Linked DNA regions of Saccharomyces cerevisiae S288C. The protein of the gene in region 1 purifies or fractionates together with the protein of each later gene. This does not show direct contact. Each region holds a gene or a part of one and is shown in the gene's direction. Other genes may lie near its edges.

What was found. The genes of interacting proteins can lie anywhere in the genome.
Region 2: the proteins of RPN9 (region 1) and RPT6 purify together in Saccharomyces cerevisiae (affinity purification with mass spectrometry; 5 studies listed by BioGRID, with this or other methods). This does not show direct contact.
Region 3: the proteins of RPN9 (region 1) and PRE1 purify together in Saccharomyces cerevisiae (affinity purification with mass spectrometry; 4 studies listed by BioGRID). This does not show direct contact.

The regions. Positions count from the first base shown.
Region 1 is NC_001136.10:1,320,280-1,325,459, forward strand, and holds RPN9 (proteasome regulatory particle lid subunit RPN9), read left to right. Parts: upstream 1-1,925; coding exon 1,926-3,107; downstream 3,108-5,180. Other genes in the region: SNX41 (Snx41p), read left to right, coding at 1-1,662; BNA7 (arylformamidase), read right to left, coding at 3,175-3,960; TIF35 (translation initiation factor eIF3 core subunit g), read right to left, coding at 4,198-5,022. UniProt on the Saccharomyces cerevisiae protein: Acts as a regulatory subunit of the 26S proteasome which is involved in the ATP-dependent degradation of ubiquitinated proteins.
Region 2 is NC_001139.9:409,569-415,531, reverse strand, and holds RPT6 (proteasome regulatory particle base subunit RPT6), read left to right. Parts: upstream 1-4,245; coding exon 4,246-5,463; downstream 5,464-5,963. Other genes in the region: RIM8 (Rim8p), read right to left, coding at 1-1,430; N-acetylglucosaminyldiphosphodolichol N-acetylglucosaminyltransferase catalytic subunit ALG13, read right to left, coding at 3,372-3,980; TIF4632 (translation initiation factor eIF4G), read left to right, coding at 5,928-5,963. UniProt on the Saccharomyces cerevisiae protein: The 26S proteasome is involved in the ATP-dependent degradation of ubiquitinated proteins. The regulatory (or ATPase) complex confers ATP dependency and substrate specificity to the 26S complex.
Region 3 is NC_001137.3:173,141-178,931, forward strand, and holds PRE1 (proteasome core particle subunit beta 4), read left to right. Parts: upstream 1-4,694; coding exon 4,695-5,291; downstream 5,292-5,791. Other genes in the region: YER010C (bifunctional 4-hydroxy-4-methyl-2-oxoglutarate aldolase/oxaloacetate decarboxylase), read right to left, coding at 1-198; TIR1 (GPI-anchored mannoprotein), read left to right, coding at 2,108-2,872; DEAH-box ATP-dependent RNA helicase PRP22, read left to right, coding at 5,701-5,791. UniProt on the Saccharomyces cerevisiae protein: Non-catalytic component of the proteasome which degrades poly-ubiquitinated proteins in the cytoplasm and in the nucleus. It is essential for the regulated turnover of proteins and for the removal of misfolded proteins.

The DNA.
Region 1 (5,180 bases):
TCTTCCAGAGCATCTACGTCATCTTCAACCTCTTCTCATGCCGTAGTGGAAGCAGATGCGGAAACTGAACCTTTTGTTTCCTTGTCGATGTCTACTACTGCTACTATTAGCAAATTTACTCCCCACGATATGAATGGGACACAGCAGATCCAAATCATTGATGCCGGCGATTTCAAAGATCCATGGGGGAAACACGCTATCGGTTACGTAATTCTATATGAAAACAACAAGATTATCAGAAGGTACTCTGAATTTCATTCTTTGAGGCAATCTCTAACTAGACTCCTTCCTACGATAATTATTCCACCCATTCCATCCAAGCATTCTCTTCTCAAATACATATGGAGTCCCATAAACGCAGCAAATGATTCCAAAATTATCTCCACCAGGAAGAAAATGCTCAATTCATTCTTGTCTAACTGTCTGAACATTCAAGAAATAAGCAACGATATTGTTTTTCAAAAATTTCTAAACCCTGAATTTAATTGGAAAGATGTTTTAAGTTCGTCGCCGATAATCATACTACCTTTGAATAACCTTTTAGCTCCACCTTTAAGCCCAACAAAACCAAGCCCCCTTCATTCTATTTTACCTATTCCATCCAACTCGTCTCTGAGAAACTATAATTCGATTTGGCAACAACACATCACAGTAAAAAGTCATAATGAAATTTCCAACCTCCCAACAGAAATTTTACAAAACGAATCTCAATTTACACATATTGAAAATTTATTCCAAAATTATAAGCGAATAATCACCCATTTATTAAAAAACATAAGATCAAATAAATCTCATTTCCACTCCTTGTCCACGTATTTTGCTGAATTAGGCGCATATTATAATGCTTTTAGTTTGGAAAATGACATAACCATGCCCAACAGCCTTCGCGAATCTGAAAACAATTCAAACAACCCAATGATGGAAATTATTAGTCATATTGAAAAGACAGGCCATTCATTCGATGTTATATACATTTCTTCCGAGATCTTAATAGAAAAGTACACCTCTATTCTTGAGGACCCCATTAATGAGTTATTGCAGTTCTTAAATGAGTCATTCAAAGTTCTAAATTTCAAGAAATTAAAGTTTTTGCAATTTAAAATATTAGAGAGGCTAATTATCGAAAAAGAAACGAAACTTTCGAGTCTCACTGAGATTGAAAACCAACTGCAGAAGATTAATGAAAGTTTAACGCGGTCGACTATATTGACAGATGAAAATTACAAAGATACAAAGGCTGCTGACCTGACATTTGTTAAAAAGGACGTAAGATCGCTATCGAAGTCAAGTTCAAATTCAAGCTCCAGTGGACACCAAAACGAAATTCATATAGGCGCAAGTAAACTAAACTATAAAACGTCTACGCCAACAATGAATCTCAATAAATTAGAAATCAAACAATTGACTGAACAAGAAAGATCTAAACAGATCAAACAGTTGAACCAAGATTTATCCAAATTGAAAGATTGTCTATCAATCTGTATATCAGACATGCTAGAAATTAACAATTCGTCATACAACAGCTTAATGCATACATATAACCATATTAATTTGACCATTGGAAAGATCTTGAAACTTTTCGCAGCTAGCTTCAAAGCATGGATCAAAGAATGTCTGAAGAATTGGAAACTGGCAAAGTTACAAATCGACGAGGCCCTATAAAAAGCATTACCGTCACGCATCGTGTTGCAAATAGCATATACATATATATATATATATATATACATATAACGTATACGTTAGAAAAATTTGAATACACACATTCATTTATCCTATTATTATCATTTTCATTCTTACCCGCTCCCCGCTTTCATCCGGTGGCAAAAGTAAGAACAAATAAAAGCTAGACCTAGATTGAAGAAACTATTAAGTACCAAAAAGCAAACAGTGGGCACACGCGAGGAAACCACATTATATTTCGCAAGATGTTTAATAATCATGAAATTGACACCATATTAAGCACTCTCCGCATGGAGGCAGATCCCTCTTTGCATCCTTTATTCGAACAATTTGAGAAATTTTATGAAGAGAAATTGTGGTTCCAATTGTCCGAATCCTTGACTAAATTTTTTGATGATGCTAAATCTACACCATTGAGGCTCAGATTATATGATAACTTCGTTTCTAAATTTTATGATAAAATCAACCAATTGTCAGTAGTAAAGTATCTACTTGCCTCTTTGAAGGATTCTAAGGATTTCGATGAGTCTTTAAAATATTTGGATGATTTGAAGGCTCAATTTCAAGAATTGGACTCTAAAAAACAAAGAAATAATGGATCAAAAGACCATGGTGATGGTATTTTGTTGATAGATAGCGAAATTGCTAGAACTTACCTGTTAAAGAACGACCTCGTTAAGGCAAGAGATTTATTAGATGATTTGGAAAAGACATTGGATAAAAAGGATTCCATTCCATTAAGGATAACAAACAGCTTCTATTCTACAAATTCCCAGTATTTTAAATTTAAAAATGATTTCAATTCTTTCTACTACACAAGTCTATTATACCTTTCTACCTTAGAACCATCTACAAGCATTACTTTAGCCGAACGTCAACAATTGGCCTATGATTTGAGTATCTCAGCATTGTTAGGTGACAAAATCTATAATTTTGGCGAACTATTACACCATCCAATAATGGAAACTATAGTCAACGATTCCAATTACGATTGGCTTTTCCAATTATTAAATGCTCTAACCGTTGGTGATTTTGATAAATTCGACTCATTGATAAAAGTTCAAATATCAAAGATTCCTATATTGGCTCAACATGAATCATTTTTACGACAAAAAATTTGCCTAATGACATTAATTGAAACAGTTTTTGTCAAAAATATTAGGATGCTTTCATTTGAAGATATTTCAAAGGCTACACACCTACCAAAGGATAATGTCGAACACCTGGTCATGAGAGCCATAAGTTTGGGTCTATTAAAGGGTTCTATTGACCAAGTAAATGAACTCGTTACCATCTCCTGGGTCCAACCAAGAATCATAAGTGGTGACCAAATTACAAAGATGAAGGACAGACTGGTTGAATGGAACGATCAAGTAGAAAAACTGGGCAAAAAAATGGAAGCTCGTGGCCAATCCATCTGGGTTTAGGCCATTGGCAGTTATATATAAAACACACACGCACACATATATATAAATGCAGAAATAAAATCAACTATCAACAAATATTGTCAAAAATATACTTCGCAACTTTACCATTCTTATAAACATCATTATGCAAACCCAAATCGTCCAAATACAACTTGAAACTTAACTGATAATCCTGAAGACAAGAAATTAAACAATTAGTTTGTCTTAACGTTAATAACTCGTCGCTATAAGAATGCACTAGGTGCATATCAATACTGAAGCGAGAAAGGGCTTTCTTCACGTAAGGCATTACTCTCGAGGGCTCTTCCTCGTACATTTGAATACCATCAGGGAAGGCAAGTCTTGTAAAACAATCATACTCTGGGTATTCTACCAACAGTTCCTTTAACGAGTATATACCATCCAATAGAAATACTCTCTTCACGATCTGCAAAAGTCCCAACATTTGCAATTGCGCTTCACTCATTTTTTCTTGAGGATCTTTGAGTGCAGCTAATATCTGCCAAATAAAGGTAGCTCCAACGGAATGTCCCACCATATTAATGTTCGTTAATCCCTTTTCTTTAACAAGCCTTGTTATATTTGACACAGCATCATATAAGTTTCTTGGATTTGTGATCTCTGGTGATAACCTGTATTCTATAGAGTATTGACAAACCGTTGACTCAGTATCCATTGATTTGATGGTATTGGCTAATTGATTAAAATCATTGGGCGTATTCTCAGGATCGTTCCATGCACCTCCATGAATGTATATGACAGCCTCTCTAGTGTTTTGTGAGATTTCTTGGAATGTCAATGTCTTGTTGAATAGTGTTATATCTGGTGAAATGGCTCTTACGGTATTTGACATATTCACGACAGCCTCTGAGCTTTTCCTTGCTTTGATTTTTTAGCTTGAATGGATTGCAACTTGTTGTAATCTTACAATCGTTAAAAATTTTACCATGCCGTGCGTGCTTTATAGAATATTGAACAATATTCTTTTAGGTATAGATTGATTAGTTTACATACTTTCTTTCTTAATATCTACAATTTTTATATGAGAAGAGTAACATTAGAAAACAAGTGCAGAGCATATTCTGTGCATCTATTCCTTAACCTTAGGTTTGGACCATTCAACACGTAAAATTAAATTCATATAACCCCTACCATCCAAGAAACGTAAAGCTTGTTCGGCAACTTCTTCGCTCGAAAAGGTAACAAAGGCGAGACCTCTTGATTTACCTGTTTCTTTGTTTCTAACGACAGAAACTCTTGGAATGGGTGCGAATGGGAACAATAACTCTTCTCTCAAACTATTTTCATCGGCATTTTCATTAACTTGCATAATCTTCAAAGTACACATATCATCACGTTCTCTAGAGTCTCTGTAAGCATCGGATGAAGGATCTCTTGCACCAGCACGACGAGAAGGTGGAACATACTGCCCTGGGATGGAACCAGCTCCGCCAACTTGGCCTGCCTTCTCTTCACTGGCGGCCTCGACACCGCCTTCATTAGTGGCTGGGTCTTCTAATGCTGAAAGTTCACTTAAAATTGTCTTGAATGGACAGTTCATGGTCATATGGTCGTTACCACATAATCTACATTGTAGACCGGTCTTTGTGAGACTTGCCTTTTCTTTTTGTATTCTTTCTTCTTCAGCTTGTTTCCAGTTCCTACTCAATCTTAATTCTACTTCTTCACCCAATCTTGCTGTAACAGCACTTGGACCTGCTGGAGACCCTTTTTCAGAGCCATATTTATGCCAGTTTTTTCTTTCTGCAACAGATTTATGGACTTTTTCCAATACTTTAACCTCTTTTACTTTCTGAGTAATCTTATACTTGACACCGTCTTCAATCTTGTATGTAATGATAGATCTAGATCCATCTGCATTCTCTATGATCTCCTCTGGTGCAACTTCACTCATTATTCCTGGTGGTCTTTGGTCTTTTGATCCTTTCAATACAGCGAGTAACTAGGGCTTCTCTTCCCTCTCTTTTGCCATCGTGATAATTTTTCACTTTCCACACTCAGTGAAAGAAAAAAATTTTAACTTCGTTACAAGCGATGAGTATAGATCGGCAA
Region 2 (5,963 bases), on another chromosome or scaffold:
GAGGATTGGGATGGGATGCTTGCATCAGATTGCTGCTGTTCGGATCTCGTCGTTCCTATGACGGTTTCTATGGACATACCAGTTACATTCCTCAGTCTCTTTAGCTTTTCCACATTTACCATATCTTTGAAAAATATACTGGATTCATAACCCTCAGAATCGTTCTCCAACGTTTCTGGATTGACCATACGTAGCATTTTCCTTTGGATACGGTTGATATTATTCTCTACGCCCAAGCCATTTTGTTCTCCAATAGGAGTTCCTATTATTCTATTAGATTCTGTGTAAACCACGTTTTTTTTTGATAAGTTAACCATAACCTCGATATAGTATTGGAAGGAGAAAAATTTTCCCACAGTAGTAAGGGTCGAAAATGCATCAAGGGGCACTTTCAGATAAACTCTAGATTGAAACTGCAACGTTTCAGGGTTAATATATATAGGAGAGATACTCTGACATATATCTTTTCTGAAAGTCTCCATAGGATCATCTTTGCCTGCACCGCCCACCCTACATATCCTCACCAAAGTGGTGGTGAGACCCGCAGGGGCATAGAAAGGCTTATAGTGGTCAATCTTAACGTCTATAGGGATAATTTCACCAATCATGAATCCAGCCTGCGGTATGTCTACGGATATAGTCACCGTTTTATTTGGTAAGGGGGACGTCTTGGAGTTTACTGAACTGCTAGAAGAATTAGAAGTAGTAGACTTTTGAGTTAATTGTGTATACGATGAGGATTCGTCCTCTGTAGATTTGTTCTTTTTGTTTTGGACCATAGATGCTGATTGTAAAACCACTGTCTTAGTTTTCGGCTTGGGCAGCCTCGAGACGTCCAGCGGAACTATGACTGCAAACTCACGTTCGCATCTTGCTTCCGGTTTTTTTAATCCGTTGATGTTGTTGAGGGATTCTAAAGTGCAAGAGAGGAAGTATGTTATCGAGCCCCTTTCGAACTTTATAGAGCTCAACATTCCTCTGCCTCGTGGTATTCGTATCCTAAAGGGAAACCTGTGTTCCCCCTTGCTTAAACCATTGAGAATGGTGGTTTTGTCAACATGCGGTTTCTTTTCCTTAGCCGAAAAAGCTGTCTTTACGTAGTCCTGTCCATAAAGAAACGTCGACTTCTCTAAGGTTTTCTCAATTCTCTTATTCTTGGAGGTTGGACTGTTCCCCGTTTTCACGCGAACCTCACATACTAGCGATAATTTGATCGCTACGTTAGTTATGTCTCTCTTTATGTCAATGACCGCTTCTCCGGTTATGCTTTCATTCGGTTTCCATACTCTATGCGGTTCGTCTATGTCTATACGAAATTGCTTCACGTTGTTATGGGCCAGCATGCTGTTGCCGTAACTGCCAACAATACCATGACTCTTTATTTTTGATGGTGCCCTTGATTCTTTGTTCCACAGTCTCAGTAACGACATGTTTGGTCAATGCTACCGATAGTGAGGGTGATGCTGATGATACTATACTAGCGTACTTTGGCTTTAACGTTAAAATCTTGTACGTGCGTGAGATGATGCGTATTCGGGGATGTCTATTTTCTATTTTTTTTTTTTCTTCGTCTAGATTGTTACTTTTGACTCAATAGAGCTTAGACAATAATACTATAAGGAACTTTGAAGAAGAAATCAAATGTAAGGGGAAAAGGAAAGGGTATAAGCCTAAGAAAAATGGCACCTGCAGAAATTGCTAGACAGTAGAACGTGTTTTGAAGCCAATCGTTGGGATTGGAGCGGAAAAGTCCAAGAACAAATAACGAAGAAAGAAAACAAAGAAAGGCGATTAAGTAAAGTGGTAGTAGAGCAAGTACGAGAGAAGAGGAAGAGGCTTAGACACAAAAAAATACTATGTTTATTTAAACCAGACAGATAGCAAAGGAAGAAAGAAAGGGGAAAAAGAATAGAAGAGAAGAAACTTAAAAAAGGCCAAGGAAATTCCGGTACTTGGCATTTCGTACTCTGAGTGCGTGCGACCTGCAAGCCGAATAGCGATTTTCAGATTCTCCGATTGGCTTTTTTTCTTGGCAAACGATACGATTGCGAACGATCGCGCGTTCACACGTCACACCGCAGCATAGAGCGAGTAGAACGGTGCGTGTCAGCGTGGTCGGCGTAGCCTAGCAATTGCCACTAGTTGGCGGACGTTGTAGGCGGACACGCGCTGAACTCGGCCCCGTTGTGGCTCATTCGCACAGAAGACCCGTGCGAATGGGTGGGATGACAACGTGGAGCGAGAGCAGGAACTAGGACGGATTAAGACACTCGTTGAAAGTGCTATTTGAATTTATATAATATAGTCCGAGCGGGGTCTATATCGGACTATATAATGCATTCCAACCTTGGTAAGTTGCTTAGCAACATGCTCAGCGATCTCGGAGTCCCTGCGAATAATGTAGTGCAACAGTGGCTGTGATATGAGTATACATAGAGTGCCCGTCGGCTGTAGATATAGCAATTCCGATGAAGAGCGATACGGAGTTTTTGGGCTGGCGTACTTAGAGAGCGCTAGCCTTACGAGCATAGCAAAGATGGCCACTTTTCCGTAACAATGGCGCAGAAGTTGGTTATTGGGCCCGTGGCGCAAACTTGACGGGAGAGGTTACAGACACAATATACTGCAGTTGAGCGAAAGCCGACGTGTTGTATTAAGCGCTTGAGTAAAACCGGATGTTCTTGACGATCTTAATATTGTTAGGAGAGTAATCTGCGATCGTGGCTTTGCCTGACGCACTCAATCTTGCGTGGGAAAAACCTGAATACCACTTAATAGATGATATTTTAGAGTATCATTTGAACGGTAGGTATACTGAATATATTGAAAGTCCTCCCCAGGGATACGAGAGTTCATAGAAGGAAACTAACATTTCTAAATTATATTAATGTTATTTTTTTTCTTTCATTTCTTATGTTGTCACTTATTCTATTACATTATCAATCCGTGCATTTCAGCTTCCATTAAATCTGCTGACTGTTTCTCGATCTTCACGTTCTATCCTTACATCTTATATGATATTGTAATACAGCTATGAACAATAGTCTATAGATGGTGGTCGATTCTTGATACAACAGCTGCATGACGGTTGTTGATACAATTATTTTTAGAATTTTAGTGGACTCTCATAGGACTCTTGTCCCTAAACGAAACATCAAAAAACTGGTTTCGTGGTCTAGTCGGTTATGGCATCTGCTTAACACGCAGAACGTCCCCAGTTCGATCCTGGGCGAAATCAAGTTTTATTTTTTTCTGATCAAAAACGTCTAAGGCATTACGCGGATACTGCTAACTAACCAAAGAAACCTTCCATCTTTTTTTTTGGTAGTTGTCCTACTTTCCGTTCTTTTCGTCTTTTAAAATCTTACTAACTAGCTGTATATAGTTTCAACTAGCAATCGCTCAAATGACGGGTTATGAGAAACTGGGAATGGTTTGAGTTTCTCTGTTTGAGATGCACGTAAACCAGCTATCAAACCTGTTTCAGTGGGTGCACAAGACCATACGTAGCCCAACTCTACAAACTTGTCTGCTATCTGCTGCTGGTGGTTATCCATCAAAGAATCGTTTACGCAAACTATCAACGGTTTATTCAACCGTAGAGAATCTAGTATAGAGCCCGTTCCAGCGTGTGATATGACCAAATCTGAATAATCACGTATAATACTTTGCATCTTGGTCGAAAAGTCAAACCCGATCACCTTTAATTTCCCGTTCATCAGGACATACTGTCTTGCGGTGTCGCCACAGCCAAACTGGTCAATTGGAATTTTTTGGCTTTCTCTTTGGCCCCCGCGTTCTTGCACTAAATGCTCAAATTCAGAACTGTAGTTTCTCCCAAACTGAATGATTAGACGTACGAATCCATATTGAATCAATTCTTGGCAGAATTCGTCGCTTAGCACACATGAGACGAGCTTTGGAAATGGCACCGTTGCCCCACACGTAACAAAAAGAGCCTTTTCTTCAATAATACCCATTGTTTGAAAGAGCTGGCTTCTGACTCGTTTGTTTAACCTCTTTTTGCGACTGAAAACTTGTTTTTCTATTTCCCTTTTTCTTCGGTTGGGTTTTTTAATATGAAATCATATTTTGCATACTTCTCTACCCTTATTCTTGTTCGGAAATTTTCGTATTTTAAAACTGTCAAAATGCGAGCGAGGTGGCAAAAGTTGTAATATCAGTAACAGTTAGGTTAGGTTTTATGTAAACGGAACAACAGTATAGTGGGATACTATCACGACAATGACAGCTGCTGTAACATCCTCCAATATAGTATTAGAAACCCACGAAAGTGGTATCAAACCATATTTTGAACAGAAGATCCAAGAAACAGAATTAAAGATCCGCTCCAAAACAGAAAATGTTCGCAGACTGGAAGCTCAAAGGAATGCATTGAATGACAAAGTACGTTTTATCAAGGACGAACTGCGTCTATTACAGGAACCTGGATCTTATGTGGGTGAAGTTATAAAGATCGTGTCTGACAAAAAAGTTCTCGTTAAAGTGCAACCTGAGGGAAAATACATCGTGGATGTTGCAAAAGATATAAACGTGAAGGACTTAAAGGCATCTCAAAGAGTTTGTCTAAGGAGTGACTCTTATATGTTGCATAAAGTTCTTGAGAATAAGGCTGACCCACTAGTTTCGTTGATGATGGTGGAAAAAGTTCCTGATTCCACATACGATATGGTTGGTGGTTTGACAAAGCAAATAAAGGAGATTAAAGAAGTTATTGAATTGCCCGTAAAACATCCTGAACTTTTTGAAAGTTTGGGTATTGCGCAACCAAAGGGTGTCATCTTATATGGCCCCCCTGGTACAGGGAAAACCTTATTGGCAAGAGCTGTCGCACATCACACTGATTGTAAATTCATCAGGGTCAGTGGTGCGGAACTGGTACAAAAGTATATCGGCGAAGGTTCCCGTATGGTCCGTGAGCTGTTTGTGATGGCTAGAGAACATGCTCCCTCAATTATCTTTATGGATGAAATCGATTCCATTGGCTCTACTCGTGTAGAAGGTTCTGGTGGTGGTGATTCAGAAGTTCAAAGAACAATGTTAGAACTACTAAACCAATTGGACGGGTTTGAAACTTCTAAAAATATCAAGATCATAATGGCCACGAATAGACTAGATATTCTAGATCCAGCACTTTTGAGACCCGGTAGAATAGATAGGAAGATTGAATTTCCACCTCCAAGTGTCGCAGCTAGAGCTGAAATTTTAAGAATCCATTCCAGAAAAATGAATCTAACTCGTGGTATCAACTTGAGAAAGGTTGCTGAAAAGATGAACGGTTGTTCTGGTGCCGATGTCAAAGGTGTCTGTACAGAAGCTGGTATGTATGCTTTAAGAGAAAGAAGAATACACGTTACTCAAGAAGACTTCGAACTCGCTGTGGGTAAGGTTATGAACAAGAACCAAGAAACGGCCATTTCTGTCGCCAAGCTGTTCAAGTGATGTATTCGTTTCACTTGGCTCATTGTATATGTTACTTAGTGTATGTGTATAATATCATAGTTTAGCATTAACTAAGAGGCAAAATTATACCGCTGGATATACAGGATATAACAACCGTTTGTCTTTTCGAGAACAGAGGGGCAGAGCATTGCTGCTTTTTCCCCGTCCTGACCTTATTAATAGTAAGCCGGGGGGCCCGTTCCTTTAGTGTATTTTGAAAAATAGTAGGTACCTGCTTTGCAAAAAGGACTGAAAAAAAAAAGATAATAAGTTTTTGATTAGAGGTAAACACAGCAAACGACCACTCAGCCTAGCAGCCTTGACCCTCGAATTTAAAAAGGCGTCTGTGTTGATAGTAACTAGAAGATAACGTTTACTACGGCGACTTCATATTTTTAGGCTGTTTTTACTGTTCCTGAAAGAAAGAATTTATTACAAAGAACAATAGATCAATTGTAGGCACTATGACTGACCAAAGAGGTCCACCGCCCCCACACCCG
Region 3 (5,791 bases), on another chromosome or scaffold:
ATAGTTCACGGCAGGTCTTGGATCATCAATGGGTGCAAACAGTACTGTGTATGCAGTGCCTACTATGGAGCTATTTTGCGGTGGAGAAATTGCTGTTAGATTAGGGAAATAACCACCCGTTGGAATGTTATAAACATTCAACAATCCGTCCGAAATATCACAGGTTGAGAACCTCTGTAACTTTTGAAGATCTGACATTGCGGACGGCGGTTTCTACTTATACTGTTAATTTTTTTAAAAGTTGGTTTAGTTTATGGAAAGCCATACAGTTCAAGTTTTTTCGCGCTAAGTAAGGTGATCACTTTTTTTTATCGTTCTTATCACTTCCAGCTGTAATACATCATAGAGATTAATGAATGAGCAACGTTTGACTCACATACAGACCTAAGTGGCGGAAATTATTATTGGCAAAATAGCTGGGCTTGCAGTTTTCCTGATTATTTGGGTAAGCTGATGGTATTCTCCAAACGCGGTGGGCAAGATCTCAGATTATCTGCTCCTTATCGACTGCTTTTTATTTCTATAAATGAGCTTGTATACACATGTATAGTTTGTATTTGGATTATTTATACTTTTACGGATTATGTTCGTATTGTTTGTATTTCATTCCCTAATTTTCCTTTACAGATATAATTTCATGATTAAATTTCAAGGCAAAATATAAAATTATTCAGAAATAGCTTCATCACACAGTGTCTAGCGAAAATATTTGTTAAAATGCTTAACCCAAAGTGTCATTCTCGACAGTGAACCTTTCCTAAAAACTTACAATTGTTATTACAAAGTTCTTCGGGGGATAACAGTCATGGAGTTACAGCAATGATACCTTATGCGGCTAAGTTTTCTTTATTTGCACATAAAGGGTGCCTTCAACATTACTAGACTGCGTGGTGTTGTTCAATTCAAACTGGAGACATAGACTACGAAAATCTTTTAGTCAAATTTACAAGGGCGAGTAGCTTTTAATTGTGCCTTCATGTGCCAAGTAAATTGCGTACAAAAAGTGTCAAGAGATTTTCTCATTCCCTACATTTGCCAGTTCTATAGGCACCTTCTTGCGCATATACATATCTACAAATATCCCGGCTTATTTCCAGTATTACTATGTTTTACTCTTAATTCAAATAAGCACTGCTATTATTACTTTTGATCACGTCAAAAGATACAAAAGACAATCTACAAGTTTATGGCCTTGCATTGTTTATAATTTATGTGCTATCTGAGCATACCCGCCTTTTCTCTATTGTTATTCGAGAGAAGACTAAAAATATCTGCTGCAAGAACAAAAATGGGAACTGCTTGTCTCTTAAAATTATCAATCCACAATGGAAATAGACTTTTTTTACACAGCAACGGTTTTTGAATGCTATGAAACGGTCATTATCAGCTAACACGCTCAACACTTTACTCCATCTTCTTAAAGGGTGTAAACAGAACGATAAATGATTTCCATAAATAGTAAGGCCCAGCCGACAGCCTGCAGCGCAAAAGTGAACCGTTTCCATCTAACTTGGATAATCTGCATTGTTCCCAACGAATGACAGAATCCATCGCCAGATCTAATAAGGTTCAATTTTCTCTATACGACGGCTATAAAAGGAAGTTTTCCGAGCGCGCTTCGAAGCAGAATAGGGAGGACCCCAGACCCGTTTTAGTGCCTGTCCCTTTTTAGTACGTGTTTCCGTTTCCGTGCCTGGCTAGATCCATCTTTCTTCGCGCGTTTATTTTCAGCACCATGTTTTAGGTTTTTACAGCATCGTTTAAGGAACCCAACAATACAATAGCGGGAAGAATGCACTTTCTCGTTCCATAAAGGGTCTCTTTCACCTATACGGTTGGTACAGATTTCCAGTGTATGCCAGTCAGCCACGGCATTACGTCGTTTGCTTCTATTTTCTTCGTTTTGAACTGCGTTTGTATGCAACTGTCCCTTGACAGAGAAAAAAGTGAAGCAAAATGACAGACAAAGAAATCTTTTGTATAAAAGGTCGGTTGAATCTTGTTGTTAGCTTGAAATCAGCTTGCTTTTCTCCTCTAAATTACATAAAAAACCAAGAAAATATCAGACTTTTTCATTCGCTTTCAACAAGTACTACAATAATTAAAAATGGCTTACACTAAGATCGCTTTATTCGCTGCTATTGCTGCTTTGGCTTCCGCTCAAACCCAAGATCAAATTAACGAATTGAACGTTATTTTGAACGATGTCAAATCTCACTTGCAAGAGTACATTAGCTTAGCTTCTGATTCTTCCTCTGGATTTTCCTTAAGCAGTATGCCAGCTGGTGTTTTGGATATCGGTATGGCTTTAGCTTCCGCCACTGACGACTCCTACACTACTTTGTACTCTGAGGTTGACTTTGCTGGTGTTAGCAAGATGTTGACCATGGTTCCATGGTACTCCTCTAGATTGGAACCAGCTTTGAAGTCTTTGAATGGTGATGCTTCTTCTTCTGCTGCCCCAAGCTCTTCTGCTGCTCCAACTTCTTCTGCTGCCCCAAGCTCATCTGCTGCCCCAACTTCTTCTGCTGCCTCAAGCTCTTCTGAAGCTAAGTCTTCTTCTGCTGCCCCAAGCTCTTCTGAAGCTAAGTCTTCTTCTGCTGCCCCAAGCTCTTCTGAAGCTAAGTCTTCTTCTGCTGCCCCAAGCTCTTCTGAAGCTAAGTCTTCTTCTGCTGCTCCAAGCTCCACTGAAGCTAAGATAACTTCTGCTGCTCCAAGCTCCACTGGTGCCAAGACCTCTGCCATCTCTCAAATTACCGATGGTCAAATCCAAGCTACCAAGGCTGTTTCTGAGCAAACTGAAAACGGTGCTGCTAAGGCCTTTGTTGGTATGGGTGCTGGTGTTGTCGCAGCTGCCGCTATGTTGTTATAAGTTATTGGTTTTTAATAATAACTACGTAAAAAATAACCATAGTCATACCCTTTTTTATTAACTACTTTCGGTCCTTTCTTCTGCTTTACAATTAATGTAAATATGTTTCGGTTCTTTAATTGCATATATAACAAGATTAATTTTTCTTTTTTTTAATTCATTTTGTCTTCTATAGTTTTTCCTGTGCCATATTTTAAATGTTCCAGCGGTGTTGGCACTACTGTCTGTTGGATACTTGTATAAGATATCAATTTATTAACTTATTGCAAGAAATTATTTTGTGCAGTGTGAAGACTTAAAGTGTATTGAAAGACCATTGAGGAAGACCTGAACATTAACCGAATTCAACGAAGGCTGAAATGCTAGGATTGATAACGTAACAGAACTAATTAGAATGTGTAGACATGACACATGCTGATTGAAACATCATGTCAAATCATCATCTTCCTTTGATGCTTTTTTAGCAGCTTCGAAAACTTACCTTCAACAACAACGATTTTACATAACACTACTGGCGTTAAAGAAATGGGGTGGCAAAGATAGAAAGAAAAATTCTACTGGAGAATGTATGAATTTTGAGGTAATTTTTGGGATGCCATTGCTGTTAGAGATCATAGTATTAGGTGCACAAAATGAACAAGGAGTTCTCCTTAAGGACATACGAATCCACAAAAGGGTATGGAAATTTCTACATAGTATTGTGATTATCGTGTAGAAATACCGATTACATTTTGAGGATTCCTATATCCCGGAGGAAAAACTTCTGGTATTCTGTATACATAATATTGTAGCCTTTACCAACAATGGAATCCGAACAATTATCTCAAAATTCACCCAATTATCACTTCTATCGGCTGGTGTTCGTACTACTACTGTTGGAATGAAACTTTAAAATATCATTCATTCGGTAATATTCCTCTAAACAATTCTTTTTCTCAACCTAGCAAAGTAACCCACACTTAAACTTATTACGATTGTTCCTCATTGCTAATTCATATTCCAGCATCTTTGATATATCATATTTTGTCTAAATATCGTCTACCATGATGATATTCATGAAGAATAAGGTTTTTCAACCTACTTTGATCCGATATAGTGTAACGGCTATCACATCACGCTTTCACCGTGGAGACCGGGGTTCGACTCCCCGTATCGGAGTACTTTTTTGATGGCTACAATCATAATTTGACATACCTCATATGAATATGATGTGGTAGTAAATTAAATAGGCTGAATCCTGATAGTTTGAGCCTGGGTTCTGACTATCCGAGAAGCGCACAGCAACATAACACCACCTTCTTTTAGTCTTTTAGCGAAAAAGTAGGAAGGCTCTGCACTCCATCGTTTTTACCATTCCTACACGTTATAAGGACTCAGACAGGCGGCGTAGTTAAAATAAATTAACACCGAGTCTTGAACATGTAATTTCTTTAGGTTCATTGAAGAGATAATTATAACTTTCCTGCCCACAAGTCCTCTGATTTACATTCGAACGAGGCTCATTAACGTAGTGAAAACTGTTCATAACGCAATCTCTTATGAAAACCATGCGGTGAATTCCTTTTGACAGGTTCTCTATGATACTATCGACGCCTCTCAAATATCAATGCGTATTACTGCATCAGCAAAGCTCCGTCATCTACATCTAGGCCGGGGCATCTTTCGCAGCGAAATCTTTACGGTGGCAAAAAATAAAGAAAAGTGAATATTGAACACCAATTACAAGAAAAGGGAGCACCTGTCAATCGAATAAAAAAGAACAAACTTCGGGCACGTCTTTTAAATAGGTTCATATACAATACTAAGAAAGATATATTAAGAAATGGATATTATTCTGGGCATCCGTGTACAGGATTCTGTCATTCTAGCGTCTTCTAAGGCAGTCACAAGAGGTATTTCTGTTTTAAAAGATTCTGATGATAAAACGAGACAATTATCGCCACATACATTGATGAGTTTTGCCGGTGAAGCTGGTGACACCGTTCAATTCGCCGAGTACATTCAAGCCAATATCCAATTATACTCCATTAGAGAAGATTATGAGCTCTCTCCACAAGCAGTATCTAGTTTTGTTAGGCAAGAATTAGCCAAGTCAATTAGGTCGAGAAGACCATACCAAGTCAACGTATTGATTGGAGGCTATGACAAAAAGAAGAACAAACCGGAACTATATCAAATTGACTACTTGGGTACTAAAGTCGAATTACCCTATGGTGCTCATGGTTACTCGGGGTTTTACACATTCTCTTTACTAGATCATCATTATAGACCTGATATGACTACTGAGGAGGGTTTAGATTTATTAAAACTATGTGTACAAGAGCTTGAAAAAAGAATGCCAATGGACTTCAAGGGCGTCATTGTTAAAATCGTGGATAAAGATGGCATAAGACAAGTAGATGACTTCCAGGCACAGTGAAAGATATTCAGTGTAATCACACGGAAAAGGTGATTGCTAATGATATACTAAAGTAATTATCTTCCTCGTTCATAAAATTAAATAAAGTTATTATAGTTTTTTCATCCGTTATAATAGCAAATGTATCAGAAATAAGACAATTTCTCATTTTTTGTTGGCAGAGTGAGATATCATCTGATCTATTGCAAATGAATCCCAATCAATGCTGATACCGCTTCGTTATAACCAATTCGAAAAGTTGTAATTATGTTACCCGCATGAGAATATTTTGAAGAAGCAATGTAGGGCTACGATAGTACTTTTGAGATGGTTTATTACTTGTTCAAATGCTGTCATCTCATGTTGTTAATGCGCTATATTTCGCACTACGAAGCTAATTTTCAACATAGGTAACACAAAGATATTAGAGATGTCTGATATATCGAAACTCATAGGAGCTATTGTGGGATCTGATGACCCCGTTATCATTGAATTTGTGCTGAATATCATAAATAAATCCG